Rhinolophus ferrumequinum: one gene and its partners. The protein of the gene in region 3 interacts with the protein of the main gene of each other region in a biochemical or structural test. Links are inferred from orthologs where the notes say so. Each region holds a gene or a part of one and is shown on either strand. Other genes may lie near its edges. The genes, in order: NEK9, SEC62, GABARAP and RETREG1.

Region 1 (8,104 bases), on a different chromosome or scaffold from region 3:
CTCTAATTTTATAAAATTAGATTTCTCAAGTGATTTTCATTTACCCTTCCTGGATAAAAGTAAGTCATGCCTAACAGCTCTGGGTTCACTTAACTCATGCTGCCCCATTTTGTAACTCTATCTCCTGTCACTTTTATGCATCATATGTTTTTCTCTATTCATGAAAACTCAACCTGCAGCTCCCAAGATCCATTCACTTTTATATCTCTAATTCTTTACTGACACTGCTCCCCAGACCAGGAGCACCCCCACCTAAATTACTCTCCCCATCCTCTAAAATGGCTCTGCTAGGACTTTAGAATTTTTTTGGGAAGGTCCTGATGAGCTTTCTGCTGTACATCTATTCAATGTAACTATTCCCTTAATTTTCAGAGTGCATACACTGAAACGACACTTGTGCATTCATTTATATACACATACAACTTAAATGCTATTTGTTTACTAATGGAGCCAACTTGTCTTCCCACTGAAATATAAGCTTGAGGGAAAGGTTTGCTTCTAATTAAACCTTCGTAAATTCATAGATCTAATAAATATTTGGTGGATAATGTTACGCAGTTTGGGAAAGTGTAATCAAATTTCACTTAAAAATTTTCTGTAATCAAGTTCAACATAAAAATGAAAAGGATGGGGGCCGGCTGGGCTGTTAGAGCTCCATGCTCCTAACTCCGAAGGCTGCTGGTTCGATTCCCACATGGGCTAGTGCTCAACCACAAGGTTGCCGGTTCAATTCCCGCAAGGGATGGTGGGCAGCGCCCCCTGCAACTAAGATTGAACACGGCACCTTGAGCTGAGCTGCTGCTGAGCTCCCAGATGGCTCAGTTTGTTGAAACGCAGGCTCTCAACCACAAGGTTGCCAGTTGGATTTCTTGAGTTCTGCAAGGGATGGTGGGCTGCGCCCCCTGCAACTAGCAACGGCAACTGGACCTGAAGCTGAGCTGCGCCCTCCACAACTAAGACTCAAAGGACAACTTGAAGCTAAACGGCACCTTCCACAACTAAGACTGAAAGGACAACTACTTGACTTGGAAAAAAGTCCTGGAAGTACACACTGTTCCCCAATAAAAGTCCTATTCCCCTTCCCCAATAAAATCTTTAAAAAAAAAAAAGTCAAATTATAAAACAAAACAAAAAAACAACAAAAGGATGGGCAAGGAGATGTAAAACTCCATTCTAGTCCAAGACTTACTTCTAATTTAAGTGAGCAAGTCACTTAAATATACTGTCTCAGTTTTTTAACTATAAAACAGGAATACTAATGCTTATCTCCTCTTTCTCATATTGAGTACAAATAAGAAAACAGAATACTAACACTAATATCATACATTAATGTGGCATTATGACAAAAAAGAACACTTAAAGATATTCTCTTGCAACCACCTCTCTCCATCTTTTAGCCTTAAAACTACGCTAGTTTGGAACACACACCAGAACTCCAGATGGCTCATTGATGGATGAATCACTTTCAATAACCCCACCATAGTCTCACATTAAATGCTTAACTATTTATTCTAAAGCTAAAATTTTAAGACGTGAATGATCAAAATCAGTTTATGGTTAGTTTTTGTAAGTAGAGTCACCACTGCAGAGTTTTAGATCAGTCTTCATTCTGAACTTGGGGGTCAGCGATCCATGAATCTCTTCAAAGGATATGTATATGTGCAAATGTGGACGGGGTGATTATATTTACATTAGGTTCCCAAAGGGGTCCTTGTGCCCTCTAAAGTTAAAAATCAACGGCATAGAACATACCGAAGAAGTATTTCCCAGGCACAAACGCTGCTGGGTAAACGATCTCCCTACTCTTCAAGAAAAATTTCCAATTGAGTGTTCACATCTGAGCTTAAAGAATGGCAAAGATGGCAGAATTGCCATTGATGTGGGAATTTTGAAGCTATGCCCGTCTTCTCCACCATGACCTTGGAGAGCTGAGAGGGAATAACTTTGGCAACACTTTAACGTGGACCACTTTATAACTTACAGTTTGCAAAGCACCTTTGTTTGAGTCTCAAAATAACCTTTAAGAATAAAGATTATTTTAAGGTAGTTATAACTAACCCATTTTATAGATGGGGAAACTAAGGCTAAGAGCAGTTTCAATGACTTGCTCAGTTCCCCGGGTTAAACAAAAACGACCAGTAAGTAAAACCAGTGATGTAACGAATCCCTAGTGCCGGGGACTTGGAAGAGTGGTGGAGCGGACCCTGAGACATATACCCTGCGGGCACCCAAGCACTACGAGAGGACCAGTCGCAAGACACGGGGAAAGCGGGGCTGCGGAGGGGCTGGGGCGGCCGGAACTGGGGGCCGCTACCTCCGTGCGGCGGTACAGCGTGGCCTCCCCGAAGGCGCCGCGGCCCAGGACGCGGATGGGGATGTAGTGCAGCTCCTCCTGCTCCGGCGCGCCGCCGCCGGCTCGCGGCCCCGGACTGGCGCTGGGCCCCGCGCCCGAGTCCCCGCCACTCCCGGACTCGCTCCCGAAGTCCGAGATGATGGAATCGCAGTGTCGTTCGTACTCGCCCAGCACCGACATGGCGGCGGCCGCAGGACCGGCCTGCGTGTCCCTGGTGGCTCTTGCAGTGCTGTGCTTCTCTTGCTTCAGACGCCTTGCTTCTCCGTCAGCCCTGCACCCCGGCGAGGTTCCATGGTGGCTCCTTCCCCCTGACCCGGAAGCGGTTCTGGGTACTTCCGGCCCAGCAGGGTTTTCTCCGCCTCCACTGGCCCACTTGCTTAGTCTCGGCGCCACGGCTTTCTTCGCTTTCCACCCGCGTGGAAAGTGAGGCCTTCGCGAGGGTTGGCGGGTGCGTGGTAGCGAGCACGTGGAACCGAAGGGCTCTGGCAGGAGCAAGGAGGTCACCGATGAGTCTGTAAGACCACTTCCCTGATCCCTGGCCTGGTCCCCAGACAGCTTCCAGGTCCAGATTTCCTCCTGTCTCATCTTGGCGACAGGTCTATCTGAAGGGCAGTGACTGGGCAAGCAGGCCCTTCCAGTGTTGCACAGCGCGCTTTGTTTAGAGAGTTATTACAGTAAGCCGAAATACTTGCCTCCTGTCGTCTCAGTCAGTGCCGTTATTTCTCCCAGAACTACTCTAGGTCCCTTCCTCTTACACACAACTCCAAAAATATTTTGTCAACTCTCCTGAAACTCTCTCTTCTCTTTTTCCAGACTTAACGTTATTCTTCAGCGCGTCTTTCCAAATCTGTAACCATTTAATCTCATGGAACATTCTCTGAGCGCTAGGTACCACTGTATTTGCTGGGTGGGGAATCCACAATAAGATAGATGCTCCTTTCCCTCAAGTAACTAGAAGTATTGCAATACAGTCGAAAAACGTGTTCCATTAGTTGTGACTAGGCAACTTCACATCTCCAAGTTTGTTTTTTAATCTGTAAAATTGTGGGAATCTGATCAGAGATAACAGCACACATTTATAGTGTGTGTTCCTAGCATAACGCTAATGTTTTCTTTCCATGTATCATCCCACTTAATCCTATTGTTCCCATTCTATAGAAGGAACTGAAATACGAGAGGTTAAGTAACCTGCTCAGTGTTACACAGCTTGTAAGGGGAGCTGGGAGTCAAACCCAGCAATCTGGTTCCACATCTCTTTCCTAGAGCAGGATATGTTGGAGCGAAGAGAAGATCATGTAGCCTGAGGCTAAGATACATGCTGGGTAGAAGGAAGAGAAGACAGGTCCTCAAATACAGTTTCATAGTCTGGCTTTTCCTGTGGGCAATGGAAAATTACGGGAGATTTTTAAGCAGGGGAGTATATGATTAGTGTGACTGTCCCGATTTGCTGGGGAAGTCCCAGTTTACCCCTTTTTCCTCCCCAGCATAATTAATAGAGCCTTCTTGCTCAAGTGCCCAGCTCAGACAATAAACAATATGATCACCTTACATTGAACAAAATTATATTTTACAAAGAACTCTGAGGACAATGTGGAGAACAAAGAGGCAGGGAGACCAGTTAAGAGGCAATTTATATGCGAAAAAAAGAACAGGCACTGAGGTACTATCAGTGTTAGTGGAGAGAAGATCCAGACTTAAGAAATCTAAGGAACATTTAGACTTTATGATCAGTTGGGATATGGTTGGTGTAGTACATGTATAAGAGTCTAGGAGACCCTTGCAGGGTTTTAACTAGGTGGCTAGTTATAGCACATACTGAGTACCAACTTGTGCTGGTGCTGGGTTACAAGGGAGAACAAAGTAAACATGGTTCCTACTCTCATGGAGCTTACAGTCCATATAACAGACAGATGAGGCAATTATATGAATAATTGTGCATAAGTTACAGGGTTATTATAAAGAAAGTACAAGTATTATTAGGACGGGCATCTTTCCCAGCCAAACTTGCTGGGTTAGTAAAGGCTTCCTGGAGGAATATCTAAAATATTGTCAGTAATGGCTAAAGCAGGGAGATCATTCCAGATAGAGGCGATTCCATCTACCTCCTCCTATTGATTAGATGGCATTTTGAGGATAAGTATTGCTTATTTATTCAGGTCTACTCCAGAGTTTAGCTCAGCATATTAAACAGGATATTCCATAAATGCTTTCTTGAGTTAAAAAGAATGGAAAAAGCTGTTACTTAAAATCAGAAACGCTGACTTTCAGAGAAACTGAATAATCGGCCAAAGCTTAAAAATTCATTTTCTGGCATCTTTGCAATGAGGAACTAGATAGTTTTCTGTAACAGCCTGGTATTGCCAATTGTTCTAGTAGTATAGTATGCATAGATAGAAGCTCAATAGCCCTTTCCATCTTAGAGAAGACAGAACAGAAATACTCATGCTCAGTTCTTTATACTGGATGAAATGAAACTACGTATCTGACCTTTGAATAGTCTTAGTAAGTCCAGAAATACTACAGGTATAACTGATTTTTTAAACAGCCTCTCATCAAAAAAGTTATTTCCATGTTATATTTTAACAAGTGAATAGTTAAGATGCTACATAACCAAAGTTCCCACTTGTGAAGGCAGATCCCCAGGGGCCATAAAGTTACTATAAAGACAAAAGAATCTACCCAAGTCTATACCCTTCACTGTCCAATGTGGCATCTGCCACTAGCTACATGCAGCTCTTGAACACCTGAATTAAGCCTCGTCAATGCAGATGTGCTGTAGCTATAAAATGCTTTTCAAAGACTTTCTATGAAAAAATAGAATAAAACATCTCATTTTTATATTGACTACGTGGTGAAATGCTATTTTGGATATATTAGACAAAATATATTATTAAAATTAGTTTTACTTTAATGTGGTACTACAAATGTAAAATTATACAGAGTGGTTCATGTTATGTGGGTGGGACACCATTGCTGCAGACTGAACAAATAATAATTGGCAAAACATGTACTACCATTTAACAAATATATGATACTGTTGAGATTATTAAATTTAAAGTTCATTTGTCAAGTTGCTGAATTTATTCATGTTCTCTAAAAGTAAAATATCAGTGAGAAATAAGACATTTTTGATGTTAAAATATTTATACTCAAATGTTGGGAACCACTACTTTGCATAGATTCACTGACAAATTACCTGTTTTTTTGGGAAATGCAGGTGGAGGGTGAATAAGAGGCCAGCCAATGAATGTGCAAAGCACTTCAGGTCGACTCTTGGAAAGAAGCTTTATGAAAAATGTCCAACTGCAAGTAAAAGGAAAGGAGAAAATGGCCTTTACTTGCTGGAGTAGGGTTTTGCATAAATGTGAGGGGTCAATAAAGCAAGTTGTGAGGGGTTCTAAACTGGGAGGGGTATTTTAAGAATGGAGGGCAAAGGAGAAGACTTTCTGTAGGAATAATTCCAATACCAGTTTCCAAGAGAGAAGCTACAGAATAATGCCTGGCTTACAGAGCCCTGTTTGGTCTTTATGAAGATGTATAATTATTATTTTCATATACATATATACATTTATAACATATATAAAATATAAACTATTACTAACTCACAAAACTTTATCCATCTGGAGTAAATTATGGACAATATTTTTTCTCTACTTAATCACGTATAATTTGCCATACTTGAAAACTGAGGAATATGGAGGAATCACTGCCAATCCAGACAAACAGTAACAGAAAAATACACCTAAAAATGGTTTCTGCTAGCCTTTATTTGAGAAAATTTACACAAAAGTCCCCATCCAACTCTTACAAGTGAATCTGTATAAATGCCACATGCCTCTTTCCATTAAACAAACAGAAAAATTGCTTATGACAGCGTTTATGACAATGGTATAACAAATATTACTTAAACTGCTTCATTCTCACCTGTATTACACAGACCATGTTGAATAATAGGCTCAAAAACAGAGGAAACGAGGTAACATCCTCATTTTTAAAACTGATTTGCCCTTGCACTAGCCTTTTATCGAAGGCAAGTAATTTTACTTTTAGATAAAATCAAGGTGTAATACTAATGAACTTTAAACCAAAAGCACAGAAGTCCAAGTTGGTAGTTTTGGCATGAGTAAAAGGAAAGGACATGAAAGAATTTCACTTTCACTGTCACATTTGGGAACAAAAATATCAGCAAAATAAAATATTCCCCTCTTTTATCTTCTTTGACATTTTGTCAGAACAGAGTACTATAATCTACTGAATAGCTTTCATTGCTTCTAAAAAGGGGAAAGGCACCAGTCAGAATTATGAAACAGTATCTTCTTAGGCTAATAATACAGAATTTCACCTTTAAACGTCTAAGGTTGGATCTTAATCCACAAATTTGGTCATTTTCTTCCCTACTTGGAGGCATCCTTTGTTGTTGAGTATTTGTAATACCACAGAGAGACTTTCACAACATCTGCTGCTCTTTTGCAAGGTTTCAGCTGTCAGGTTCTCAGAAGCAGTACCAATCAATTCTTACCAGCAGATGGCAATGTTGCCCAAATTAATGAAAGAACCACTTTCAATGCCACACCAGAAATTCATACAGGGAGTCAAAGGGAGAAGAAAGAAAAAGGGCTTTTGGGTTCACAGTAGCTGGAACATTAACAGAACAGCCTGAGATTCTAACAACATAACTCACTTCCTCCTCCACCTTTGTACTTCTATCCAGGTCACCACAGCAGTGTGCTCTGTTAGTTCCAGGATGCTGCTTCTTAACCACAAGCTGCATGGCCCTAAGTCCTGTAATTGCCACTGCGATTGGACAAACCCTGTAACAGTCAGCAGGGCTAAAAAAGAGATTACAGAAAGGACAAACTCCCACCTCCTTTCCTGAGAGAAGTGGGGAAATATTCATAATATTTTTCATAATTGTTTACAAACATGGTCATTTGTATCCACGTTCTTATTTACATTAGTATTGGCCTTTAGGCACCTCATATTCTCACAGTGATTCTTGGCTTTGCTTTCACAACATGTATTCTCAAGTATTTATTCATGATCCCAGATGCGTTATTTTTTTTATACCTCATATGTCTTAGGGGGACACATAAGAATAGGAATTAAGTCAGTGACTGGCCATGTAAGAAGACTTGGTAAATTTTACTACTTTTTTCCTTGGTAGAAGTTATGTTAAAAATTCAAGCAAGCACATATCTGACAAAGGACTTAGATATATCTAAGATAAATAAGGAACTCTCAAAAGTCATTAGTAAAAAGAATCATCTAATTAGAAAATGGGCAAAGGACACGAACAGATATTTCACTGAGGAAGATACAAAGATGGCAAATAAGCCCATGAAAAGATGTTCAACATTAGTCATTAGGAAAATGCAAATTAAAACCATAATGAGGTATCGTTACATACATCGATCTGAATGACTAAAATAAAAAATAATACCGCAAATACAGGTGAGGATGTGGAGAAACTGGATTGGTCATCCATTGCTGGTAGAAACATAAATAGCACACTCACTCTGGAAAAAGAATAGAGCGGTTCTTACAAAAATAAACGTGCTCTTACCATACAACCCAGCAATTGCCCTCTTGGGCATTTATCTCAGAGAAATGAAAATTTATATTCACATAAAAACCTGTACATGTATGTTCACAGCAGCTTTATTAATAAAGGCCAAAAACTGAAAACAACTCCAATGTTCTTCAATGGGTGAATAGTTATACTGCGATATATCCATACCATGAAATACTACT
Region 2 (7,808 bases), on a different chromosome or scaffold from region 3:
TTACTAAGCAGAATACTAAATGGATGATTCTCTCTTTAGCAGGAACAAGTCATGTTAAGTCTTTATGTCATACCATTTATTATAAAGATTTCATGATTAAAGGATTTCAGAAGAATTTATTTTTATTTTATCAATGGTGAGGTGGACAGAACATTCAACGTAGAATTGAAAGACTTGATCTAAATCTGGTTTTACTACTTTGATGAGGGACCCTGGGTCGTCATATACTAACTTCACCCAACCTGTTTATCTGTAAAATGAGGGTGATGGTTTCAAGCAGTAAGTTTTATACCTAGTAATACTTTTCGATCAAGGCCCTAAATGTAGCTTAAAGGACTATGGAGTGTCGGGATGATGGTAGTGGGGTACTGAAGTGATAGGGCTTTGGGGCTCACCACTCTGTTTATATAAGAACTGCATTTGTGCTAAAGGATTCCAAACAAACCCTACTATTTGAAAATCCTTTTCAACTCTAAAATTTCATGATACTAGGATTCTAAATCAACCTTTCTAGTAAGCAGCATTTTGTTAACCTATAAGCACTTACTTTAAGTTCTTAAAAACTTACCTAATTGCATTTCTTAAATAACTTAAAATTATTTGTTTTCAAATGTTTCATTAGATTGAGATCACTCTCATTTCAGAATCTCAATCATTAAAAGTTCCCAACATAATGTCAATGCTCACTAGCTCACTTCTGGTTTTTAGTGACCAGTAAAGTGAGTCCAAGAAGGAAATGTGACAAAACAGTCCTCTTGCTTCCAACTTTGATGGGATATCACAATCCCTGAAAGTATGCTACCCTAGAAAAAGCAAATGAATTAGCCACCTTCTAAAAATGCTGAACGTGTCTGTATCAATCATTTCCCCCAATGTACAAATTACAATTCAAGGTCACCAAATCTACTAAACATAAAAGTCTTTTCTGAACAGGAAACATCAAATAACAAACAACAGGAAACTCAGTTGATATTACAGAACTTTTGCCCCAAAGTCTTACAATAGAATCTTTTTTGTAACTTAAACTGGACTTTGTCACTATATTTGATCTTTTTGTCTAAAGTGATGCCAATATTATAGAGTGTCTGAGTCTCTGGTGGGGAGTAGAGGGAACCAAGAAAATATATAAGATATTGTATATTTTTAATAATTGGTTAAAGACTGCATAGTAGTACTCCAAGTAGCACTCCCAAGATCTTTACAATATTTTAGCACAGCTATGTAGAAAACTTCGAGGATGGGAAAATAAATGTCAGTTCGATTTAGCAGTATGCAAGCTGATTTATAACAATCAGGTCCTCAAATACTTATCTGATCTTTAAATAAACATTAGTAAGTAAATAGCTATACTTTATGGAACTCACAATCTCATGGTTTATTTAGTGAATGGATAGGTGTTAATCTTTCTTTGGCATATCAGATTGCTTAACAAAAACCAAAACAAACCATCTTAAATCCTTCATCCTTGGGGAAGGGGGAAAAGGAAGGAGTTACATTCTTTTGATGTATTTTTCACAACAACCCTACAACCCTATGAGGTTCCCCCTTTTTTTTTTTTAAGGTAAATATTCCTTTTTACAGATTTGGAAATTGAGGTAAAAAGTTAAGTAACTTGCCCAAAGTTACACAGCTAACAATCAGTGACACTAGGGTACAAACAGGTACAGTCTGGCTCAAGCTTTAGCTCCCAACCACGATTATAAAGCTTCCTAGTCTACTTTCCTATTTAACACAAAATCACAGTTGAAATAAAATAGCTATTTAAAAAGTGAATTAGGATCACCTTCACAACAATATTAAACAACTGCTGAAATTGTAAAAACAGGGTTTGTTAAATAGCATAAAATGTAATGTGTAAATATAAGGAATCTAGTAAGTACAAATTTGACAAATTCAACACAAATTCTAATAAAAGTCTTATATATTCATACTTAAACAATAACACTAAATTTTGAAAGGCTAGGAATAGTATAATTAGAAATTTCTTCCATAATACCCTTAAGCCTTGGTTTTATGACCTGTCTGAATTCAGGGGAATTTGTCTCTTTATGATCCCCTTTCTACCCTCTTTGAAACTACTTTTTTATTTCTGCCCAATTCCAAAATTCCAAATTTACTGATCACTAGCATCTTTTTTTCTAGCACTCCAAAGTTTTCAGAATTTTAACTCCAGTCACCTGTGGTGCAAGCCCATTAAGTAACAGTTTTGTTTTTGTTTTAAATGGAGGAATAAAACATTCGACAGAAAAAGTCATTCTGAACAAAGAAATAGTAAGGAACAGAGATACAATAATGAGTGTAACAATTTGTGATTAGTATATTAACAATTTACAACATGCTATCAATTTATGATGACATATCAAGGTTTCTAGGCCCATGAGCTGATGAGGCAACGGACATCCTGACTCTACGATGTGCCACATATGTAATCCTCTTGGTAAAGAGCAAGAACAACAGGGGAGGAATCGCTGGGATGAAATGCACAGATGACATGCATGTGGAATGAACGAGGGATGTTATGTAGGTTATGAGGATGACACACTGTGCAAGGTTTCTGGGCGCGACCAGCTCGTTACAGTATCAGCGCGGATGTGTTTGTTTATACTGTGTCTCCCAAAAGAAAGCTGGAGAGCTTCAATTGGACCATTAACCTAACAGCATTGAGGAGAAATGATGGTAAACGCAAGTGAACATCTGGCCAGGCAGGCAGCTCGCCGCCCAGGCCCCGGGGACAGCTGACCAAACACAGAGCACTCCCCCTTCCACCGTCCTTCTGTTTGCGCACAAAGAACTGGCTGCTTTAGGTCAGCCTCCTCCTTCTACCCTAATTACCGTGGCCTTAATTTCGAGAGCGTTACGGCGAGCGGACGGGGTCGGGAAGGGAGGCGAGGAGGCCGGGGAGGGTCGCCGGCAGAGCCGGGAGGAGGCTGACCACCCAGCGCAGGCCGGGGCGGGCGCGGCCTCGGGAACCCCGGGCCGCCGACGCCAGCGCGGCGCCTCCTGCTTTCTGCCGCTGTCCCAGCGCCTCGGCCACAGGCTCCGCCGCCGCCACCACCACCCTCCCTCGGGCCCCTCACGACGACGCAGCCGGCGGCCGGCGGCCTCGCGGCGGAAGCCCACCCCACCCCGCCGTCGGTTTCGCTCGCCTTTTCAGGGGGCTTTCCCCGCTCCCTCCACTTCCGAGCGCCCCGAAGCCCCTACCCCCGGACTCGACTTGGCTACCTGAATCCGCTTCTTGTGTCGCCTGCGTTCCGCCATGTTGGCCGCTCCGCCCGGTTCCCTCTGACGTGGAGCGAGGAGAGGGCGGTGGAAACCTCGCGAGAGCGTCCCGCAGGTCCCGTTATGTAACCCGCCGGCTGGGGCCCTGCGAGGGTGGGGAGGCGGGCGCGAGGCCGGACCCCGGGCAGGCCCGGCGGGACTCGGCGGCGCCCTCTCTCCCCTCCCCTCCGCTCCCTTTGTTGCGGGAACGGGAAGTCGCTGGGAGCAGCAGGAAGTTGAGAGGTGAACCAGGGAACAGGAGGGTTGGAAAGAGTCTTGGCTGTCAAACGTGACTGAGCATCTGCATCACCTGGGAAGCTACTCAAATACAGATTCCCGGGCCCCACCCCCTCAGAGTCACTACGTTGGGAGTGGAGCCTTTCACAGAGCGATTCGCTGAGAGCTCCGGGAGGCTAGACGTCTCTGACTGTGGCACTTCCTATCTGGAGTGGAGCCCTGCCCCACGCATGACCCACGTGCAAATTCTATAAACCCCATTTTAAAGATGGGAAAACCCAGGGAACTGCGGCGATGGGAACTGATTTATCCAATGCTCCACAGCTGGTAGATGGCCGAGCCCAGATTTAAGTCAATTATCTTTTCCCACACAATATACAGGGTGGTAGGGCTCATCGAAGACAAGCTTTGGATTCTCTATTCCGTGCTCCAAGTTACTTCTTAAAACTCACCTTTCGAAGCCAGGAGTCATAACTCGAGGGAAGTACAACCAACTAGTGAGACAAATAGGAGAGAGTCTAAGAAATTGGGAATGAAGAAGACTGCAGCGTACTTCGCGGATGGTGAATTACTGTTAAAACTATTGTTATTTTAGAGCCACCTAGACCAAAGAGAATGGGCTTACATTGCTAGTAAGTGTTTAGATAGAAATTCCATGGCGATTTTAAAGCATTTTCAATTGTAGAAATCTGGGGAAATACAGAAAAGTAAGATGAAGAAAGTAAAACTCCTAATTCTACTGCCCAGACCTGTTATTATTTTAGTTTATTTTCCTCTAGTATTTATTCCTACTTTGTGTGTGTATTTGTATTTATATATTTTCCCTTTTCCCCCAGTTTGAGATCATACTGGATGTGTAATTGGTAACCTTTTTTTCACTTAATGTTATGTTACAAGCGTTTATTATATTATTAAAAAATTCTTCAAGTTTCCCATATTATATATGAACCTAATAAAAATTGAATGTGTAATTAAGGCAAATCATGGTATCTTGATGCCTAATCTTTTATAAAGTAAGATAGCTAAAGTTCTTGTTTGGACTATGCAATTCTGTACTCAGGGAACAGGATTAGCAAACTGTTTAGCTCCTTTCCCCTCTATAACCTACAATTAGAGTGTGTGGGGTCAAGGAGGGGGTAAGACAAAAGTTATGATTCTTACCAATTAAGTCAAAATATAACATAGGATATGAAATGTCTATTTCCCTCAGTCCCTCTCCCCCTCCAAAATGATGGATCTGTTTTGTACTGTTCCATTTGGAGAACACTGGATTCTTTTCATAGGAGAGCTGCTCTATAAATGAAAATATTGCATTCAAATAGATACTGAGTGCCTACTAGATGCAAAATGCTAGGTGAGGACGAGGATGGGGATCAAAAATCCTTTGTCGACACCGACTCCCTCTGAAACTACTGGCTTACCACCTTTGTCTTCAGAAGAGCCTTAATTTTCTATCCCCATGTCTTCACTGACATTCACTTCTTAGATTACAACAATTTGGTTTCTACCTCCACCATCTATTAATAATTTATGTTAAATCCAGTGACTCCTTTTTGGCTAGCATCTTATTAAGCATTTGACAATACTGGCAACTCACTTCTTGACTTATTCTTTTTCCTTGGTATTTATGATATTAGGTTCTTCCATCTAATTTCTCTTTGGCTCCTCTCTCTTTGCCCAGCTCTTAAATGTTCCTGGCTACCATACATCCATGCTTACTTCTTCCTTCTCTTTATACATTCTGGGGATTCTCATTGATGCTAACAGCTTAATTCCAAAATACTGAGTAAATGTTTACTTCCAGCCGTCTTCTGGATATCTCCCGAATTTCCAACTAGGAATCACCACTTCCCCCACAAAACCTGCCCCATTTACTGCATTTTAAAACTCTGATAGTCGCATCATTGTTCCCTCAGTTACTCATGATTAGAAACCTTAGAGGTATTGCAACCATGCCTCTCTGCCAATCAGTCACCAATCCTATTGATTCTACACTGAGATGTTTGGAATTCTTTCCTTCCTCATCATTCCTACTGATGTTGTTTTCATCAGCTCTTTATCATTACCTACCTGAACTATTGTTGCAAAAGCCTCCTATCATTCTTCACAACTCTACCCACTCTACCCTCAAGACCACCTTTCATTCTCTTATTTTACTAACCACTGCCCTCACCTACCAATACTCCCCAACTGTGTACAGCAGCAGTAAGGATGGCTAATGTTCTCATCCAAGTGTAAAATTTCTGGATCCTCCTTCCATTTAATATTTATATAAAAATAGCTCAAACACTCTACCCAGGACCTCATTTATATCTTTGATGGAGGTAGTGGGGAGTTTCGCCTAGCCATTTCTTGCTCTGATTTCTCTTTGAATTTGCCATCTCACTCCTAACATTTGACTTTTATTTCTTTCCCAAATGAGGAGCATTGCCCCTCTTCCTTTCTTTTGCCAAAGCAAAAGTTCTCTTTACCTCTGGGCTGTTTCACTTCTCTCTAGCGCTGCCTCTGAAACTCAGAATTGCTGCATAGAGTAGAGAAATTGAAGTCTTCGCTCTTTACTAGATTCCTTTGGGCACATAAATTTAAAAACTCTTTACCATGCTCTGCTAAACAAAGGATCCTCTGTCTGGAGGACTGATGAATAGATGAGGACTTTAAAAAATTCAGTTTCCTGGGGCCTACCATCCCAGTAAGTGGAAGAGAATGGTATGTAGAAATGTATTTCCATTGATCAGACTTATGTAAAATGGAAACTGATATATTCAGTGTTTTTTTTTTGTTTTAAATAAAACTTTCTCTGGGTCCTTTATGTGTTAAACATACATATGTTACTAAATTGGAAAGAAAAAAGTTATAGGGAAGTATAACAAATAATGACCAAGCTTTTTCTGGGCATGGTTTTTATAAAAGCATTTTAAAATATGTGAGTTAATAAAGTCAGTGACTTAATACTATTATCACAAGGAAAAATTAATTTGATATAAATATAATTAATATAAAATAAAATACAGTAAGCCTAATTTTATTTGAAAATTGATTTAATATTTGTGAGTTGATTCTTTAGACTTCCATTCAAGAAATAGCATAAAGAAGACAGTGAGTATGTATTATTGAAAAACAAGCATAGATATTTTGTTTTGAAAAAATATAATACATAAATTTTAGACTAAGAACATTTAAAAAGTCACTGTCTTTTTAACTGAAATGGTAATTGTTTTGTCATTTCAAACAGACATACATGTTCATCGTGTCATTCTCATTCACATACAGGATAGTCATGATTTCCTTATCTTTGATTTATTAGTTAGGATTCAGTGCAAAAAGAAAAAGGAACTAATCTAAGTATTTTAATAAGAAGGGGACCTAATGAGGAGAATTACATGTTTCCAATATTGTTGAAAGGTTGGAGGAGCAGGCTTAAGTCTGGACCTGTCTGAATGACTGCCAGAACCCTGCAAAACCTATCAGTCAGGGAGATTGCTACGTTTTGGGAGTCACGAGTCCACAATAGCAACACTAAGTTCAATAAACTACTAGGATGGCTGTAATCCAGCTGTCAGGAAGCCAGGATCGTAAGTGGTTGCCAGCACTGTCATAATACAACTACCTCTTAACTCCCATGATCAAGAGTGGATACAGTGAGGCTTTAGAAAACCCCTGTGTCTCCATGACTTTGCTTGCCTGCAGACTGACAGCCAGTAGCAACAGGAAGAAGGCCTCATCATCACTTTTGTCTTCGTGATGTCCTCTCAGTGCATTGAATTAAAACCACAACTCTAGTTGCAAGGGAGTCTGAGAAATGAAGACTTGAGCTTTCCATTCCCTGCTGTGTGCCAGTTGACCATATACAACCACTATCTTTTTCCTGGGAATCAGCCGGTTCAGGCCCACCTCTCCTGCTTCATCTTGAGCACTGTGAGACCACACTTCTCCCCCTCATCCCCATCCCTCCATATGCACGTTCAGACCCACATATTTCCTGTTTTTTTCCTTCCCCTTCCCACTCGGTATACCCTTCAAGGGTCAGGTAACATGTCACCTCCATGGTGAAACCTTCCCTAAATTCTTTCTTCAGCAGACTCATCTGTTCCTTTTCCTGGGCTCCACCAACATTTTGTACAATCCTTGCTATAGTATATATAATTTATGTTGTAATTCACTGTTTTTATTTCTAGCAGACTGTGAACCCTTCAAGGGCAGGTATAGGTCTCATTCTACTGTTCTCAGTGTCTCAGTGCCTGGGTCAGAGTGCGTGGGTGTCGATGGAGTGAAGAATGAATGATGACAATGACATCGTCCTTATCCTCTGGAGT
Region 3 (7,452 bases):
AACTTCAGTCCCCATCAAGCCACGGACTGGCGCAGGCGCACTAAACCGCTCCCTTCCCCCGGGGAGTGGCGGGGAGATTGGGAGCAGAGGGTAGAACGGAAGAGCGCGCGCAGGCTCCTGGGAAATGTAGGCTGAGCGGGACTAAGAAAGAAGGGAAAGCCGGCATTAGAACTCTCGGCCACCATACTGCCTCATTCTGCAGCTTCTTTCTCCCCTCCGGGGGACCGCCCCACTTCCGGCCAAACGGAGAAGTGGTTGCTGGAAGATGAAGTTTTCCTGGTGATAATGGTTCCCTCGTCCCAGTCTTCTCCCTCCCTTGGATTCCCCTCCACTGGATCCCATATTCTGGCACAAAGTCTGGCCAGGTGACATACATCTGAAGACAGAGTCCTTTTAGCAGCCTCCACACGCGAAAACTTCCTTAATCCAAAAGGTTGTAATAAACTTGGATGTGTATATCTAAAGCAGGTACTATCAAACTTTCTCCACAGGAACCCACAATAAAAAAGTTATTCTTTCCATAAGGACCCAATACACATGTAGATAAAGCTAAAGTTTCAAGAAACAACTCAGAGTATCTCATCCATCACAATAAAAGCACCCTTTTTATGCACAAGGAAAAGCTACCCCAACATCAACAGAATAAACTGAAATATATGACCATCCCTCCAACCTCTTTCCCACCACCGATGACTAAAAAACAAAAGGGGGAGGGAAGGAATACAAAGCAAAATCCAGTTCAGCTTGGTTTCCTCTTTATTAATGTGCCTCCTACCTTCCCCCCACAATTTCAGTCCCTTCCATCTACCCCAAAAAAAGGTAGTGAAAGGAAAGGATTGTTGGGGTTCTGAGCCCCTTGAGCAGTTAGAAAGGGAACAGAAACCAAAACAATCACTGGATGTGACAGAGATTGACAATCAAGAAGTCTAAAGCAGAGTGGGAAAGTGGTATAGAAAGGGGAAGAAAGGAGGAAGGAGAGGTACTAGAGGCCATCTCCACCCATTAACCCTCCTGCTAAGAGGGTCTGGGAAAAGAGCCTCAAACATTAGGAAGTGCAGGTCCTGAAGGGAGGTGGTGTTTGAGCCTGAAGGAGGAGGTGGTCAAGGAAGGGGGGCCACCTCTCTCTTTGTAGAATGGGACCCCCCCACTGCAGGGGCAGCAGTTTCACAGACCATAGACACTTTCGTCACTGTACGCAATGTATAGAAAGAAGTCTTCTTCATGGTGTTCCTGGAGTGAAAACAGAAAATGATGCTGCTCAGACATCTGAGCTTTAGTTACCTAAACCACCTGCCACCCAAACACATGCTTTAAAAACCATTCTTTTTGAAAACTCCCAAAACCAGTGCCTTGATTCTCTTCATCACTTGCTCCAAGCCCTAGTAGTCTAGTCGGATTATCCCTAGAAGCAGCCCTGGGCAAAAAAGATCTTCAACTGTTCTCTGCTGCTGTGGGGAGGGACTAGGGAGAGTCAGAATTAGAATACTTGCTCCAGCTCACTGTTCTCTCCCTTCTCTCTACTCCCACTGCCTGCCCAAACCCCCAACTCAGGACTATCCACAAAGTTTCAGGCCAAAGATAAAATTGAGAGCTCAGCAAGCCAGCTAGTCCAAGAACTACCGACGTAAAACTTGCTTCCTCTCACGCTCTTCCACCTCCTCTCCAAAGCCTCCATTACGTCCCAGTCCCCGTACCTGGTATAGCTGACCCATCGTGGCACTGGTGGGTGGAATGACATTGTTGACAAAGAAAAACAAGGCATCCTCAGCTCGGAGATGAATTCGCTTCCGGATCAAGAAGTAGAACTGACCAACTGCCAAAGATACAAGGTGTGATAAAGTCACAGATAGCACAAAAGCCCTCAAAAGAACAGCTGCTATGTGGAGCCTCCTCCCACAGAGATTGCACTCACACCCACAGGAAGCAAACTTGAGTATTGGGTCAGGTTCCCACCTGTGAGATCAGAAGGCACCAGGTATTTCTTTTTGTCAAGGTCTCCTATCCGAGCTTTGGGAGCCTTTTCTACTATCACCTGATAAAGGGAAGATGAAAATTAGGAGACAGTAGGTATAGCGTCCCACAGCTCCACCTGTCAGGAACTCAAGCAACAGTATTTCTAGCACGCAGACCTACCCCAGACTCAATTCTTTGTCTATGAACACGCGGTGCAGACCTGAGTAGAGATTCTAACCCCACTGACTCAACTCACCTAATCATCCAGGTCCCTGTCATAATAAATAATTACCTTCATTAGACGGGAATGACTTGTCTGGGGCGACTACAGCTTCAATCTCAAGAACTCGGGGGAATGACCATGTGACATTCAGACTGTCAAACTCCCTACAGCCTCCCACACGAATCTCAAGGTCTATCTCTCCCATCTACACCCCCTCACCCCCAGCTACCACCGCTACCCCACTCCTTTCACCTCCGGTCCCAGAGACAGCAGTTTCAGGTTCGTTCCCAACCCTGCCACAGCAGGAAGCTTGATACCCAAACTGCCCGTCCCCGACCCAAGCCCAGGCTGTGGCGTCAGCGCCAGCACCAGCGCCAGCGCCCCGCGCCCTCGGCCCTGGCTACGGTCCTCACCGGGACCCGGTCCGGGTATTTCTTTCGGATCTTCTCGCCCTCAGAGCGGCGCTTCTCGAACGGATGCTCCTCTTTATACACGAACTTCATCCTCCCGGGAACCGGGCTGGACAAGGCTGGGCTGAGGGAACCCGGGGGGGCCGGGACTGGGGGAGGCGGCGACGGCGGCGACGCGCGGGCGGATTCAGCGGAGCGATCCCAGGACTTGCGCCACTTCCCTATTCACCAACCCCGCCCCCGCCCATCAGGGGCCGCCCTGCCTGCTACATTACGCCACTAGCGCAGCAGCCCTGACGCCGCTAACTTAGCACCACCTACTGACCACCCCCCTGCCCCCGCCACGCCGTCAGCGTAATAGCTTCGGAATCAACTTGTGGGTTACGCAGGCGACGTAGCAAAGGTGGTTGGCTTTTGCTACCGTCAAAAATAACTGAAAACCCGTTTCCCGACCTTCCCCCACGAAGCTAGGGGTGAAAAGAAGCTAGGAGATAGTAATCATAACTTGAGACTTATTCATCAAAAATTCTTTTCGGACATAACGTAAAGGAAAAAGCAGAGAATTACAAGGATAGCTATTCAAGAAATGTGCTGGTACGCTAAAGACGGCCGTTGACACCAAAACAAAATAGTACCCAAATGGAGGAGGTGGCCTTCGGAAATACAGGAGCGCAGAAACGAAATATATGTTTAGAGAGATGCACAGAAAGCATAAGTACCAGGAATGAGTGGACCAAGAGGGAATGTAAAGGTCCGAAACGTTTGGGACTACGTCAGCGCGGAAGAACACCACTAGTATTTGTATCAACGAAATCATGTGATCTCAGAGAAGGGCGGAGCATCACGTGGCAGCTACAAGGAAGTAGAGCCGGCTTCGGGGAGGAGGGCGCGGGGAGCCGGAGGCGGGAGGGAGGTTAACCTGACCGGGGAGTGGACGGCCTGTGGCACAAGCTACCTGCGGGCGGCGCCCACTTAGCTTGTCTACGTCAGTCCCCCCAGCCCAGCCTCTCTCCAGCTATATGCCTTTTCTGGCATTCAGGCTTCTCCTTTCATATTTCTGTGTCTTGCTCTGGAGCTCGAGTCTTCTCCAGACATATAGCTGTACTTTTCGCTCCCAGCCAGGGCGCTGACCCTTCACTTCCCGCCAAATCATCTGATGTCAATGTTCACTACTTCATCAGACAACCCAACACCACATTTTCCCCTTACCCCTTGGGCCCAACAGCAGTCTCTCCCCTCTGCCTAGAGGGCAGGATGGATGTGAACAAAGACCCCTCCCCTTCATTTACCCAAACCCCAGAGAAGGACCTAGGGCAGCTTTGGTTTCCAAGTTATAATGCATGGTTTAAAAGAGAGGAAAGAAAAAAAGAGAAAAAAAAAAAAAAAAAAAAACTGGTTACAGGTCTGAGGAAATCTAGGAAAAAGGGAAAACAGAGGGAAAAGTAAAGGGAGGACAAGTTTGGGGAAAATCCAGTGGCCCAAATCCCAGTTTCCCACCCACAGCCCAGCCCTTGGAGTAAAGAATTAGATCAGTTTTATACAAGAGTTTTAAAAAAATCAAATCACAACAAAGCTGGCTTGGCTTCTCTCTGAGCCTCCTGGATTACCGAATGTCTGTCTCTCACTCTGGCCAGTCCTGTCTCTCCACCACAGACACAGTTTCGGCTCTCCTAGGCCTCTGCTTATGTCCCAGTCTGGGGTTTCCAAGGAGTTTGAACACGAAGTTAGAGTGAGGCTGCTTCAGAATCTAGCCCATGTGTCCATCCAGACTCCATACAGAGTGCAGGGCTCCCAGGGCAGAGAGGGGAGGGAGGGGCAGACCCTGCCCAGGCAGTCCTCACCATTGGACAGGGCATCAGACGGCATCCTGAGGGCTCACCCTCCCTTTCCCCCCCACCCCAACTCAGGTGGAGGGGGAGCAGCTGTCACCAGAGCCTATGTTGGTGAAGGTTTCGGCTCAGCACAGAACGAACATCAGCGGTGAACCTGGGATGACAATAACTTGCATTGGTAGAGTCCTTATAGTTAATATCCCCACAACACTAGTGTGAGGCAGCCTCACTGGAGATGTGGGGCAGAAATGATCACCATTTTCAGATGATGTTCAGTTTGCCCAAAACCCAACGGCTAAAAGTGATGAGCTTTAGTCTAAGACCTGGGCTCAAATGCTAAATTCTTAGGGAAGAGAGATAAGTAAGTAAAACAGGTCAAACTTTTTTTTTTCCTCTTGGGATTCCCCCACCTCCTCCTTTCCTCAGAAATCTAAGTGTCTAGCTTCCCTTACCTGAGGGCATCCAGCATTGGAAGCAGGTTGAGAAGGGCGGTGTCGCTGGGGTCACTGAACCAGGATTTGATGGGGATGGCATTGTCTAAGTTGAGTGAAAAATGCACATGAGAACAAAGGATTCAAAAGAGACAGGGTGTTTTTTTCTTTTATTTGGGAGTAAGGATCATTACTTTCAAATATATACCTTCCACCCAAACTCAATAATCTAAGTAAAAACCTTCTTGATTTATCCTCCAAAATAAAATTAAATTTCGATCACCACATATCATACTAGTGTGAGGCCTCTGGTCAAACTTATTGTCATTGTGTCTCACCTGCTTTTAAGAAATCTGATTTATGAAATGATCATGTGGGAGAGAGGGGAACGTCTCACTTAGAAGAGAAACAACTTGCATCCTGACCTACAGTAAACCAGGCATCACAACTCCACGTATTCAAAATACCTCCTCAGAACCACTTCCTGGTCCTGCCAGACTCACCACCTTCCCCCATACCTGGATGGCTCCTGTAAGCCCCCGGGGAGTTATCCAGGATCACAATGCTGGAGAGGTCACTGTGGACCACAGAGAGGTCCTTGATGTAGCTGCCCAATTCCAAAGTGCAGTGCTGGAAGGCAGGGTAAGCTGGGCATCAAAAGGAAACTCGCTCTCTGTGACTGTCCTCCCCCCCATCCCAACAACGCCTTGGGCAGCCAATTCCCACAAAGGGGATCATGCAGTATACCACCGCCCACACACATACGACTAGAAGGTCCCATTTCAGGGCAATTGCTTCCAACTCAAATCACTCCCTGGTGGTCTGCCTCTGGAGCTTCACTCTTAGACCTGGATTCTAGCCCCTTACCTGTCTGTAGTATCTCCTCTTGAGAATGCTTCTGCTATTGTCCAGTTTATCTGCCACAGCAGAGCCATAAATCTCCATGCTTGCTGTGAATACTACCAGCTCGTACCACTGGCTCACCTGAAATAGACAGGGGAAAGGGAGGTGTCAGAAGAGGTGATCATCCTTTAGATACACAGTTCCCATTCACCAGGACTGCAGCCTTGTCCTTCAGGACTTTCAGCAATATCAAATTATCTCTAAGGACACAAAATTGTGAACGCCCCCAAACTCAAGTCTTAGGCACCATACACCCTTAAGATTCAGAGATGCAAGAACAAAAGAACAGGAAGCCTGTGGAAGAAAAGAATTACATCAGCAAAACAAATGAACCCGAACTAGTGAAAGCCATTCTCCAACCATCCCACAGCCTCCCCTCTTCAAAATTGCCCTTATCCATTTCTCCTCACCCCTTACTTCCTCCAAATTCTCTAAATTCCCAGAACCCTAAAACCATTCCTTCATAACAGAGCTCCCTTTGGCTTTCGCAAACTCACCACTTCTAAGAAGAAATCCACATGGGGCCTCTTATGTACAAAAAACCGGACAGGATGTTTGTCTATTACCACCTGTAGAGGAATAGGGAAGGGCTAGGGGAAGTACTGAGCACCAGGACATGGCCTAAAGGACACCCTCCCATTGCCTGCTTCCCTCCTTCAGGCTGACACTGGTGCCAGAGGATGGGGATGGAGATGAGACATTCTGGGATTGGGAAAGGGAGTCCAGCCTAAGACGAATAACAGCCATAACCATTCCATTCCATCCCCACACACCTTAAGGATGAAATCAGGAGGTGTTCCAGGCCGGACTGTGGGCCTCAGGACCCCATCATGATGGGAGTGAATAAGTGTCTCATCCAGATCCAGCACCAGGATCTTCCTCTTCACCTGGCCTGAACCACAACAGGAAGGGAAAACATCAACCAACCTCCAGCCCAGACCTTGACTCCTACCTCACATTAGAGGAGTCTTCTCAGCCAGCACACATACCTAGCCGATTCCGGGACACAGGAGATAAGGGAAGGATATCATATCGAACAGTTTGGTACTGAATTACCTAAGAACAAGAGAGAGAATTAGAACCCTTGACAAGGAAATCTTCCCTAGTAACAATAGGTAGCACATGTTGAATATTTACTATATGTTGGGTACCGTGTACATGATTCAGGATTATTTCATTTATTTCTCAAAACAACAACAATAATATCATCTCTGTTTTAACGATAAACTGAGGCTTAGAGAGGTTAAATACCTTGCCTAAGGCCACACAGCTAGAAATTATCTTATTTAGTTGTCTGTCCCCACAGTTAGAATGCAAACTCCACGAGAGCATGGATTTTTGTCTCTATCATGGCTGAATTCCTAGAACACTGTAGCAGGGGTGGTCAGTTCATCTTAGAATCTATGAAGTGGTGCAGCCAGGATTGTATCCACGCAGTCTGACATAAGAGCTCGCCCTCTTAACCGTATTATCCTGCTATACTGAACAAAGAAATGCACAGCCCTCCCCACCTCCCCCCTAAGGATTCTTCATGACAACTCCCATCACCTCCCGCTAGAAACTGAGCTTCCTTAGTGTAGTAGGAACAGGAGTCAAGAGGGGAGGTCCTTGGGTCCCTAAGGGGAAGAGAGGTTGAAGCAATCCAGGGGTTGTCAGGTCAGCTAAGTTCCTCTGGCTGGGGGCCACCAGGCCTATTTTAA
Region 4 (8,735 bases), on a different chromosome or scaffold from region 3:
GATGACACACTAGATGGACCCCAATCATTCCTATCATCCAGGTCTGGTCCGAGCAGAAGCTCCTTATGAAGACCGCACAATCGCTTCCTTCCACAATGGCACCACTCCCCGCAAATCGCATGACAATAAACTATCCTTTCTCTGACTCTTCTGACGTGATTTCCAAGATACGCTAACTTCATGCAGCCTTGATTAACACCCATTTGTCATGGCCACGTGTCAGTGTTGGTCCTTATATTACACAGGACTAAAATCTTACACATAACGGTGGGTAAGAAATGTCAGAGGCTTTATGAACTCAAACTCAAAATCCTGAAAGCTACTGCTGGTAACTGATACTAAGTCATTCAGAAAACATGTGTTTAAAAAGTTAATTTCCAAAAAACATGAAGTAACATCAATTAAAGTGAACACGTTATCACTCTTGCTTAAGTTCTGGGTTCCCCATATTGCTAACATTATTAATCTTTTTGTTTTTCTCATAAAAAATACAGAGTGTTAGCAGTCCTGGGACACAGAATGTTAGAATATCACATAACTTAAGATTACTTGCTAAGAAATACACTATTTAAGGAAAACAACGTCTTCTAAAAGTGTTTTAACCCCAGAAGCAACAAAGGGGTGGGAGGAGTTCAAATTTTTAATGAAATTAATAAATGGGTCATAAATTCCAGCTAACAAATATTTCATAATTTAAAAAGCCACACTATTATCTTTCTGTCAAAGAAAATACATACATGGAATGCAGACACTGCAAATGGGAGAAAATATAAAGCAGATAAGAAGAAAGCTCTAACTGGACTGAAGACCTGATATTGTGTACCTCTCATGAGACTCATTAAAAACAAAGGAGACATCACTCTTGAATACTACCAAATCTGCCTTCTATTATTTTATGCAAAAATCATTCTTTTCCATAGAGGTTATAAAGAATACATTACAGAAAAATGTTTGCAACTCATAGTATAGAAATTAGGCTGAGGTTAATATAAAAAGAGTTCCTACAAATCAATAGGAAAAATCCCAAGAGTTCAACTAGAAACACGGATAAAATATAAAAACAGATAATGCAAAGAAAACATGATTATAATGGCTCTTGAACACAGGAAAAGATGCTTGACCCCAGAGAAATACAAATTAAAACCCCAATGGGATACCCTTTTTCACCTATCAGATTTACAAGATCAAAAAGTTTGATAAAATGCTCGTGGCAAGAGTATAGAGAAACAGACAGTCACACACATTGCTGGTTGGAGTATAAATTGGTAGAACTCCAAGGAAGTGCAACAATTCAGTGATATCCATCAAAATTACAAGTGCACATCCCCTGTGATCCAAAAATTCCACTTCTTGGGAATTTATTCTACAGAAATGCTAGCATGTGTGTAAAATAATGCATGTATGAAGCCATTAGTAACACTGAAATAACAAACGTTTGGAAACAACCTTACAGTCCATCACTAGGACACAGGTTAAATAATTTGTGACAACCTTACAACGGGAATTCTATGCAGCTGAAAATGGGCATGGACGTGATTTCTAAGATACACTAAGAAGAGTAAAGACCCTGATAGTATTTTACAATTTGCACAGAATATTGTGATGTGCACTACCTGGAAAGATACAGGAAACAGGTAACATTAATGAGGAAAATTTAAACTTAAAGAAAGAGAATTTTAAAAATGTGTCCCTCATTGGTGAAATGAGTGAGACACAGCCCTAGGACAATTGAACTATTGCCCAATCTAGCATAATACCATAAATATATCCTCCTTATTTGAATGCTCACATAACTTCATAACAGGATAGAGAAATCTGGAATAATCTTTAGGAACACAGAAGTAAGAGACCCAAAGTAAATTCACATTTAGGGGCCCTGATAAGACACAGCCAGTTTTTAGAGAAAACCAGGACTAGCACAGATCTGTTCTTTTTCAAAAAATCCTTGAATTGCTTAGATTCACCTAGAAAACGGTAGGCTGTGTTATACCATGTGCATTTATTTGTTTCCTAACTGCAAGGTTAAGAAATCTGTCCTACAGCAGGCTATCTGCTGCCTAAGCTGTTTAATGTGTACCGTGTGGGTCATGCTTGTTATGAGGACACAGTTGCAAACAAAGACAGCTTTTCTCTGCCCTCCACCAGACTGGTAGCAGATGACAGGGCATGTCCTTCAACGAAGGAGCCAGACACTTCCCCGGTCCTTACAGGTAAAGAGTTCTCTCTGGAGAGACAAACCTGTTGATCAGGGGCTTGTCAGAGAACATTCCTATGTATTCTCTCTGTATTTTACCTAAAAATATGACTGTTTTCCACCCTGTGCACACCTGGGGAGGGGGCAGGGTGATGTACGTAATCCACCGTTTGCCTGTTGTCCCATCGTGCAGTAAAGACAGTAAACCCAATCCTCCAGAGAACAGAAAAACAAGTCATTCAGTGCCATCTCAGGTGGCTGACGAAGGCGGTGCAGTCTTGAGCGTGTACCTAAGCTGGTCCAGATAGGCCTGCTGGGGGTGCAAGAACGAATACAAGTTCAAGCACGATTGCTCAGGCATGCTTTGGGGGAGCAGGTCAAGACCTGCGAGTTTTAGAAAGCAAAAAGCCGAAGTTTCTGAGCACGCTGGGCACACCTGTAGGTACAGGTGCAGACGGGTCAGCCGACCACCTTGCCTGCGAGGCTGGAAACACAGACGGAGGATGACAACTGTTTACAGGCAAGAGTGGTCTGGAGGAAAGTTGAAGTGAGTGTCTACCTGTTCGAGAAAGGTGGCCGAGAAAGTAGGGTAGGGCTCACACTTGCTCCTCCGCAGCGTCCAGCGCGCACTACCCACCCAAGGCCCCGGGCGCCCCAAGGTCACCTGCCCTCCCAGGCGTCCCCCCACCCCCACCCCGGCCCCGAGCTCTCACCAGAACAGCAGGTTGGCCCCGACGAAGCCCAGCAGGCTGCGCAGCGGCCTCTTCCAGCTCAGGAGCTCGTCGGCGCGGCAGCCCAGCCACAGCACGGGCTCCCCCAGCAGCCAGGTCACCGCGGCGGCCACCCCGCCGGCCGCCTCCTCCACCTGCCGCCCCGCGGCCACAGCCGCCGTCGCCCCTTCCTCCAGCGCTTCCTCCGCCTGCTCCTCGGGGGGAAGCCGGGGCCGCGGCGCCCGCTCGCCCGCAGCCGCCGCCGGGCATCCTTCCTCGGCGAGCTCCGGAGGCGCCGCGCTCGCCATCTTCAGCGGCGCTGCCAGGCCGGGACGGGCACGCGCGCGGGCGCGCCCGGCGGTCGGCGCCGAAAGGGCGGCGGGTCCCCGCGCGGGGCGCGCACCGCGGGGCGCCGGCCCTGGGTGCCTTGTGACGTCAGCCTGGCCGCGGCGGGGGCGCCTCCCGGGGGAAGTGGGTGCGGCCCAGCTGGCGCAGGGGCGGGCCGGCGGGCGCCGGGGGGCGGGGCGGCCTCCGCCGCGCGGTGGGTGCGAGCTGGGCGGGGTCCCGGCGGCCGAGAGAACGCGAGCCCCCGTCCCCTGCCGCTCTCGGAGCGGGGCGAAGCAGAGGACCGCCGCCGGGTGACTTGTCTAAAAGGGAGTCGGGACTACCGGCAGAATCCATTGGACATCTTCACTTTCTCAGAGCCAGGGCCACCACTCGCCCATCCGCAGCCTTGCAGGGCTTTATGGGGTGTCCCTTCCCCTGGGAGCGGATGCCAGCCACCAGCGATCCCCCGGCCCAGTGCCCTCGCAGAGACAACCCACCCAACCATAGCAGAGGTCTGTAATACTCTGGGAATAACATGATGATATAAATGTCATCACGGATTGAGAAGGAAAAAAAAAAAAACATTTGGGTCAATTACTAAGCTTCTGGCCGGTTTTTACAAGCGAGGAAACGCCAGGCCTCAGCGAAGGGGGAAGGCGCTTCCTCTCTCACTGTGGGCAAAGGCACCTGGCTCCAGAAGGCACGTTGGTTTGTGGGAGGCACAGATGAACCAGGAGCTCAGAAGGAAGAACCCCTGAGGAGAGTGGATGCTTTGCATGTGTCGAAGGCAGTTTGGCAAGCCTTACTCCAGAGTCACTCTGGTCTCTGTCCCAGCAGACATCAGGACAGGGGTGAGGTAGAGGAGAGGTGACAGAGAATCCCGAAACCTCCCATACCGGGCCTCACTGGCTCTGGTGCTTCTGGATGAGTGTGGGGAGAGGAAAGAAGGGTAATTGCTTATACTCTTCACTATTTGCATTTCTAAAACGTATTCTTTAATCCTTCTGTTCTTGCTTTCCTCTAGAATAAAATGCCCCTTCCCCCCACCTGAGCATCCAACCTGGCATGACTCAGGGCATCTTGTATCCACCACCAGCACCCAGCCTTCTTTTACAGGATGGGTGGGGCTCACTCCCAGAGCAATTAAAGCCTGTTGTTTTAAGGGAGCTTCTGGGGAAAGTTCTGTAATGCTCGTCTGAGTGGTCATTATATACGTTTATCCCTCTGGGTATACATATGTAAAAAAAATGCATTGATCTGTACAGTGCAGATGTGTGCACTTTACGTATGTGTGTAATACTTTAGGAAGGGTATATGTAAATTCTAAGGTTTATTGAGCACCTACTGTGTGCCCAATGCATTGCTAAGCTCTGTGGATATGTTTGTGCTGATAATTTTATTAAAGCAATTCTACCCTCCTTTTCTTCCTCCAGGAAGCTCCCAGTCCAAGGAGGGGCCAGTTACAATTGTGAGAACTGCTGTGATGGAAATAATCGCTCTGTGCGAAGAGTCCTTACTTAAATCATGCACCCAAAATTAGAGAAGGAGTGGAGGACTCAGGTTTCAGGAAGCTGTTTGGAGCAGATGGCAGCTGCCCTGAGTTGTAAGGAGGAGGGAAGTAAAGTGGGGGCTCGGGGGAGGGGGCAGTAATCTCTGTTGGGAGATCAACATGAGGTGCAGGTGTGGAGGCCCAGAGTTCCTTCTATTTGCAGCAGATCCCCAAGGCCCTGAATGAGCCACTAGTGGCAGGAAGTTTGGGTTGTACCGAGATGGCAAGGCAGGGTCTCTGGCGTTTCTGACTTCCCTTTGAGTACAACACCTCTGACAACAGAAAGAAAGTGGTCAGGGAGGCAATGAAAAAACAATGTGGAAACAACTCGAAAGACTATCTGTTCCCAGGTGTTGATCCCCCTCTTGCTTTTGAAAAGATAAATGATGCTTTATTATGTCATCTGGTCTTTGTTTAGCAGGAGTACAGCACAGAGGTTGCAACATTCTAAGATTTGTTACTGGACTCTGCAGCTGGAGGGGGCATGCAGAGGTAATGAGGAACCCTATTGTCCAAACCAGTGTGGCTGTGCTTCCAGAAGGGTTGGCAACATTCTTCCCGTTGCTTCTCCTCTCCCCGCCCCCATTCTAATTATTGTCAGGATCTGTTTGAAGTAGCAAAAGCTGTTGACAACCAAGACACAAAAACTAAACTCCATTTGCTATATGTAGTTTGCAATCCTTATTATCTCTGTTTAATGATAAATCCCGTACCCACCGCTATGTGAGATCTTTTTCTCTCAAAATGACTGCGGAGAAAGTGCTACACAAAACTGGTTTGCATAAAAAGCTGGACTAATTGCTCTAATCTGTCTTTTTCACCTCTGACCTCTAACAATTACTGACAAAGGAATAATGTCACAGGAATTGACATTGGCATAGACATGTAAATAGGTGCTACTGGGTGTTTTCTCTTTGTCTAATTATCTTTGTGATGCTTGAGTAATTTATTCAGTGTGAAGACTACATAAAAATAATGCTAATGATGGTTAAAATAAACCTTGTCTCCTAGTTTTTAGAACATGTCATGTTTAAAACTCCGGTGGGTAACCTTAGTGTTTAAGATTCTCTTCTGAATTTTGCATCTCTGTATATTGGGAACAGAGTGATTAACACTAATGAGCTAGATGATTTGATTATATATCCAAGGAAAACTAGAAAACTGGGAATGTGTCAGAGGGGAAAAAAAAGAGAGAGAGAGAAAAAACAGTTGTAGCCACTGAAGCTGGGAGACAGTTTAGAAAATAACACAGCTCCAGCAAAGAAAGTCAAAATACACATAGGAACTCTTAAAAGAGGCCACTCACCTTTCTCTTCCAAAAGTAGCTAGAAAGCTTGTAATAGGAGAGAAAAATAATGAATAATTAATTCCCTCTCCAGGAGGCCTCACAGGCAATGCCCTAGTATTTTTTTTCCCTAAAATGTTTTATGTTGGAATCCTCCTTCAGTAGGTCCATGACTCCTTCACTGAAGGAGCTGTGCATACGTGTTTATTAGTAATACAGGTAGATTATTTTGTGCTGATAATTTTATTAAAGCAATTCTACCCTCCTATTCTTACCATAGACTCTCCTCCTTATTCCTGACTTCCCCTAATTTTCATGTCACTGAGCCAAGAGAACCTAGAGAATTCACTTTAAGTATACAGATAAATAGCAACATCACCCAACAGCAGCCAGCGGGCAGAAAAGGAAAGGAAAATTGCTCCTGGTTTTTAACTCCTGGCTCGCAGAAGGCATTGGCGATTTCTGCTTGGGGGGCCCGCTGTCTGTTGTGCTCATGAGGATTGGAACTTGCAAACTAGAATAGTCTACATTTGACAAGTTTTCTGTAAGGGAGGCGCTCTCCAGACATGAACAGTCTCACACCAAGGTGAAGCCATCCACACACCAGTTGGGTTCCCAGTTTAGGTATCACTCCCTGATAATACACAAAAGAGCTTTAAAGGCTTCGGAATGGTTCATGAAAGAGAACTTAGGTCCCACCACAATAAGAATATAGCCTAAGAAAATGTACTGTCTAGCCACAGGCGCACGCACACACACAACACACACACTCAGCCAGGGTGACTGCAGACATGAACGTCCAGCCCCTTCCCACCGTGCTACAAGTTACACTCCAATCAGCCGACTAGCCGCTTTGCTGGTCCTGTGTTGGAGCAGTTCATACAGAGGATGTGACCGCTGGTTCACCTGCTACCCAGGCAATCAGAGGCTCCTCAGTCCCTGGCCTTGGAACGTACGTCTGCCTGCTGCTGTGACAGTGGGAGCCATTTCTGGGACACAGGTTGAGAGTAAGGTGTTGTGGAGACCATCTGGACTGAAATGAACCTGTGAAGGCCTCTCTATAAAACCTTAAGAGGCTGGCAGGCAGGTGCAGAGACCTTGCAGCTGCCCAAGACAAGCCTACTAAGTAAATTCATTACTCATTAAACCTGCCACCTATCAGTCTGAGGGTCCGCCAGCCACTTTCTTTGGTCTCTCCGTGCCCTCTATGTAGAGGCTAATGTCAAATTTCACCCAGGGGCTTCCTGAGGTTGCAAACCAACGTCATCATCTGCAGCCTCTTTTTTTTTTTTCCTTTATGGTCCTGGTTCTGCCTCACTGCACTTTGGTATCATTCATTCGTCATTTCTTCATTCATTGATCATTAAACCTTTATTAAAGGTTGGTTTGGAGTAAGAAAAGCAAGACTGCTTATGTCCTCATGGTGCTTCGGTCATGGGCAAGGGAACAGGACCTGACGGTGGCCAGGTGACGGGAGAGGGTACACGTGACGTGCATGGCTGGGGTGGAGGGAAGCCAGCCCAGCCCTCAAAGAAAGGAAGCACTTCTGAGCTACAGGACAGGGCGAATGAGCAGGTGAGCCCTGGAAAGGGCTCCTTCCACGTGCTGCTTTGGGGCCATTGGTGGGCTCTCAGCAGGAGAGTGAAGGGGCCTGTTTATAATAGAAAGCCTTCCCTGCACAGTGGGTTAAGTAGAGCCTGGCAGAGACACCAGAGGAGCTTTTTCCTTATCATTCGCTAGGACCGTAAAGAGGAGGAGCAGACTTGGGAGGGACACTGTCAAGTGTCCTTCGGGACATCTTTGGAAATGTCAGTTAGGCAGTTGGGCCCGGGGTCTGCGGCTCAGAAACCAGCGGAAGCTGTGATCCAGGCAGAGGAAATGGCCTGTACGAGAACCTGGCAAAGGGTAAGGCCGAGGTGAGTTCCAAGGCGCTAGCCAGACCAGGTTGACTGCATGGGGCAGAGAAGGTGACGAGACTTCTGGATAAACACAGCAGATAGAGGAGGGTTTTGCACATCATTCCCCAAGTTAGACACAATCCTTTGAGCTGTTGAGAGTTCCTGAAGTTTGTGGGTTTCTTTGTCGTTGTTGGTTTGTTTTTACCAAGGAAGCGATAGACCCAAAACACCTTTTCCTGAGGTCCCAGGAACTCCAGCTTAACTTCCATCATCAAAGTGAAATTGTGGTGTGATGGTTTCTAAATAAAGGTCTCCAAATCAGGCCTCCAGTCTCAAGAGTATTTTGTAAACTAAAATTAGATTCGTGGAATATAATGAAATAGCTATGAGAATTACATCCCACAGACAGCCAAAGGGTGTATTTGGCTTGTCACCTCTTACTAATTTTAGTTCATTAGAAATTAGGCACAAAACCCGGTGACCCTTTAGGCTGGGCTGGTGGCCGCAAGCCCTGCTGAGAACACGCAGTCAGGCTGTGGCACAGGTGTCCTCTTAGACCATGCACAGATGGGCACAGCCAGGTGTTTACTGGGCAGCTAGTGGTAACCATGGGGACCCTGAAGCTTTGTAAGACTCAAGAGCCTTCTGAACCTTCAAAGCAATATTAAGGTCATATTTGATATAGTTTGAAGTTTAGTATACAGCTAAGTCCTCACTTAACATCGTCACTAGGTTTTTGTAACTGCAACTTTAAGTGAAATGACGTAGAACA

Evidence for each region.
Region 1: the proteins of GABARAP (region 3) and NEK9 form a complex in vitro, tested with the Homo sapiens proteins (2 studies listed by BioGRID and IntAct, with this or other methods). The link is inferred for Rhinolophus ferrumequinum from reciprocal best matches to the Homo sapiens genes GABARAP and NEK9.
Region 2: the proteins of GABARAP (region 3) and SEC62 interact in a test that uses a peptide from one of them, tested with the Homo sapiens proteins (2 studies listed by BioGRID and IntAct, with this or other methods). The link is inferred for Rhinolophus ferrumequinum from reciprocal best matches to the Homo sapiens genes GABARAP and SEC62.
Region 4: the proteins of GABARAP (region 3) and RETREG1 are reported together in a solved structure, tested with the Homo sapiens proteins (2 studies listed by BioGRID, with this or other methods). The link is inferred for Rhinolophus ferrumequinum from reciprocal best matches to the Homo sapiens genes GABARAP and RETREG1.

What each region holds. Positions count from the first base shown.
Region 1 is NC_046289.1:23,492,731-23,500,834, reverse strand, and holds the start of NEK9 (serine/threonine-protein kinase Nek9), read right to left. Parts: upstream 3,132-8,104; 5' UTR 2,939-3,131; coding exon 2,315-2,938; intron 1-2,314.
Region 2 is NC_046285.1:72,241,942-72,249,749, forward strand, and holds the start of SEC62 (translocation protein SEC62), read right to left. Parts: upstream 3,550-7,808; 5' UTR 3,259-3,549; coding exon 3,223-3,258; intron 1-3,222. UniProt on the Homo sapiens protein: Mediates post-translational transport of precursor polypeptides across endoplasmic reticulum (ER). Proposed to act as a targeting receptor for small presecretory proteins containing short and apolar signal peptides.
Region 3 is NC_046304.1:11,590,356-11,597,807, reverse strand, and holds GABARAP (gamma-aminobutyric acid receptor-associated protein), read right to left. Parts: upstream 2,817-7,452; 5' UTR 2,680-2,816; coding exon 2,590-2,679; intron 2,033-2,589; coding exon 1,954-2,032; intron 1,814-1,953; coding exon 1,695-1,813; intron 1,231-1,694; coding exon 1,165-1,230; 3' UTR 1,154-1,164; exon of another isoform or gene 1,110-1,153; 3' UTR 739-1,109; downstream 1-738. Other genes in the region: CTDNEP1 (CTD nuclear envelope phosphatase 1), read right to left, coding at 4,512-4,572, 4,871-4,955, 5,368-5,479, 5,717-5,833, 6,250-6,321, 6,526-6,644, 6,742-6,808. UniProt on the Homo sapiens protein: Ubiquitin-like modifier that plays a role in intracellular transport of GABA(A) receptors and its interaction with the cytoskeleton.
Region 4 is NC_046290.1:11,173,461-11,182,195, forward strand, and holds the start of RETREG1 (reticulophagy regulator 1), read right to left. Parts: upstream 3,248-8,735; 5' UTR 3,213-3,247; coding exon 2,908-3,212; intron 1-2,907. UniProt on the Homo sapiens protein: Endoplasmic reticulum (ER)-anchored autophagy regulator which mediates ER delivery into lysosomes through sequestration into autophagosomes.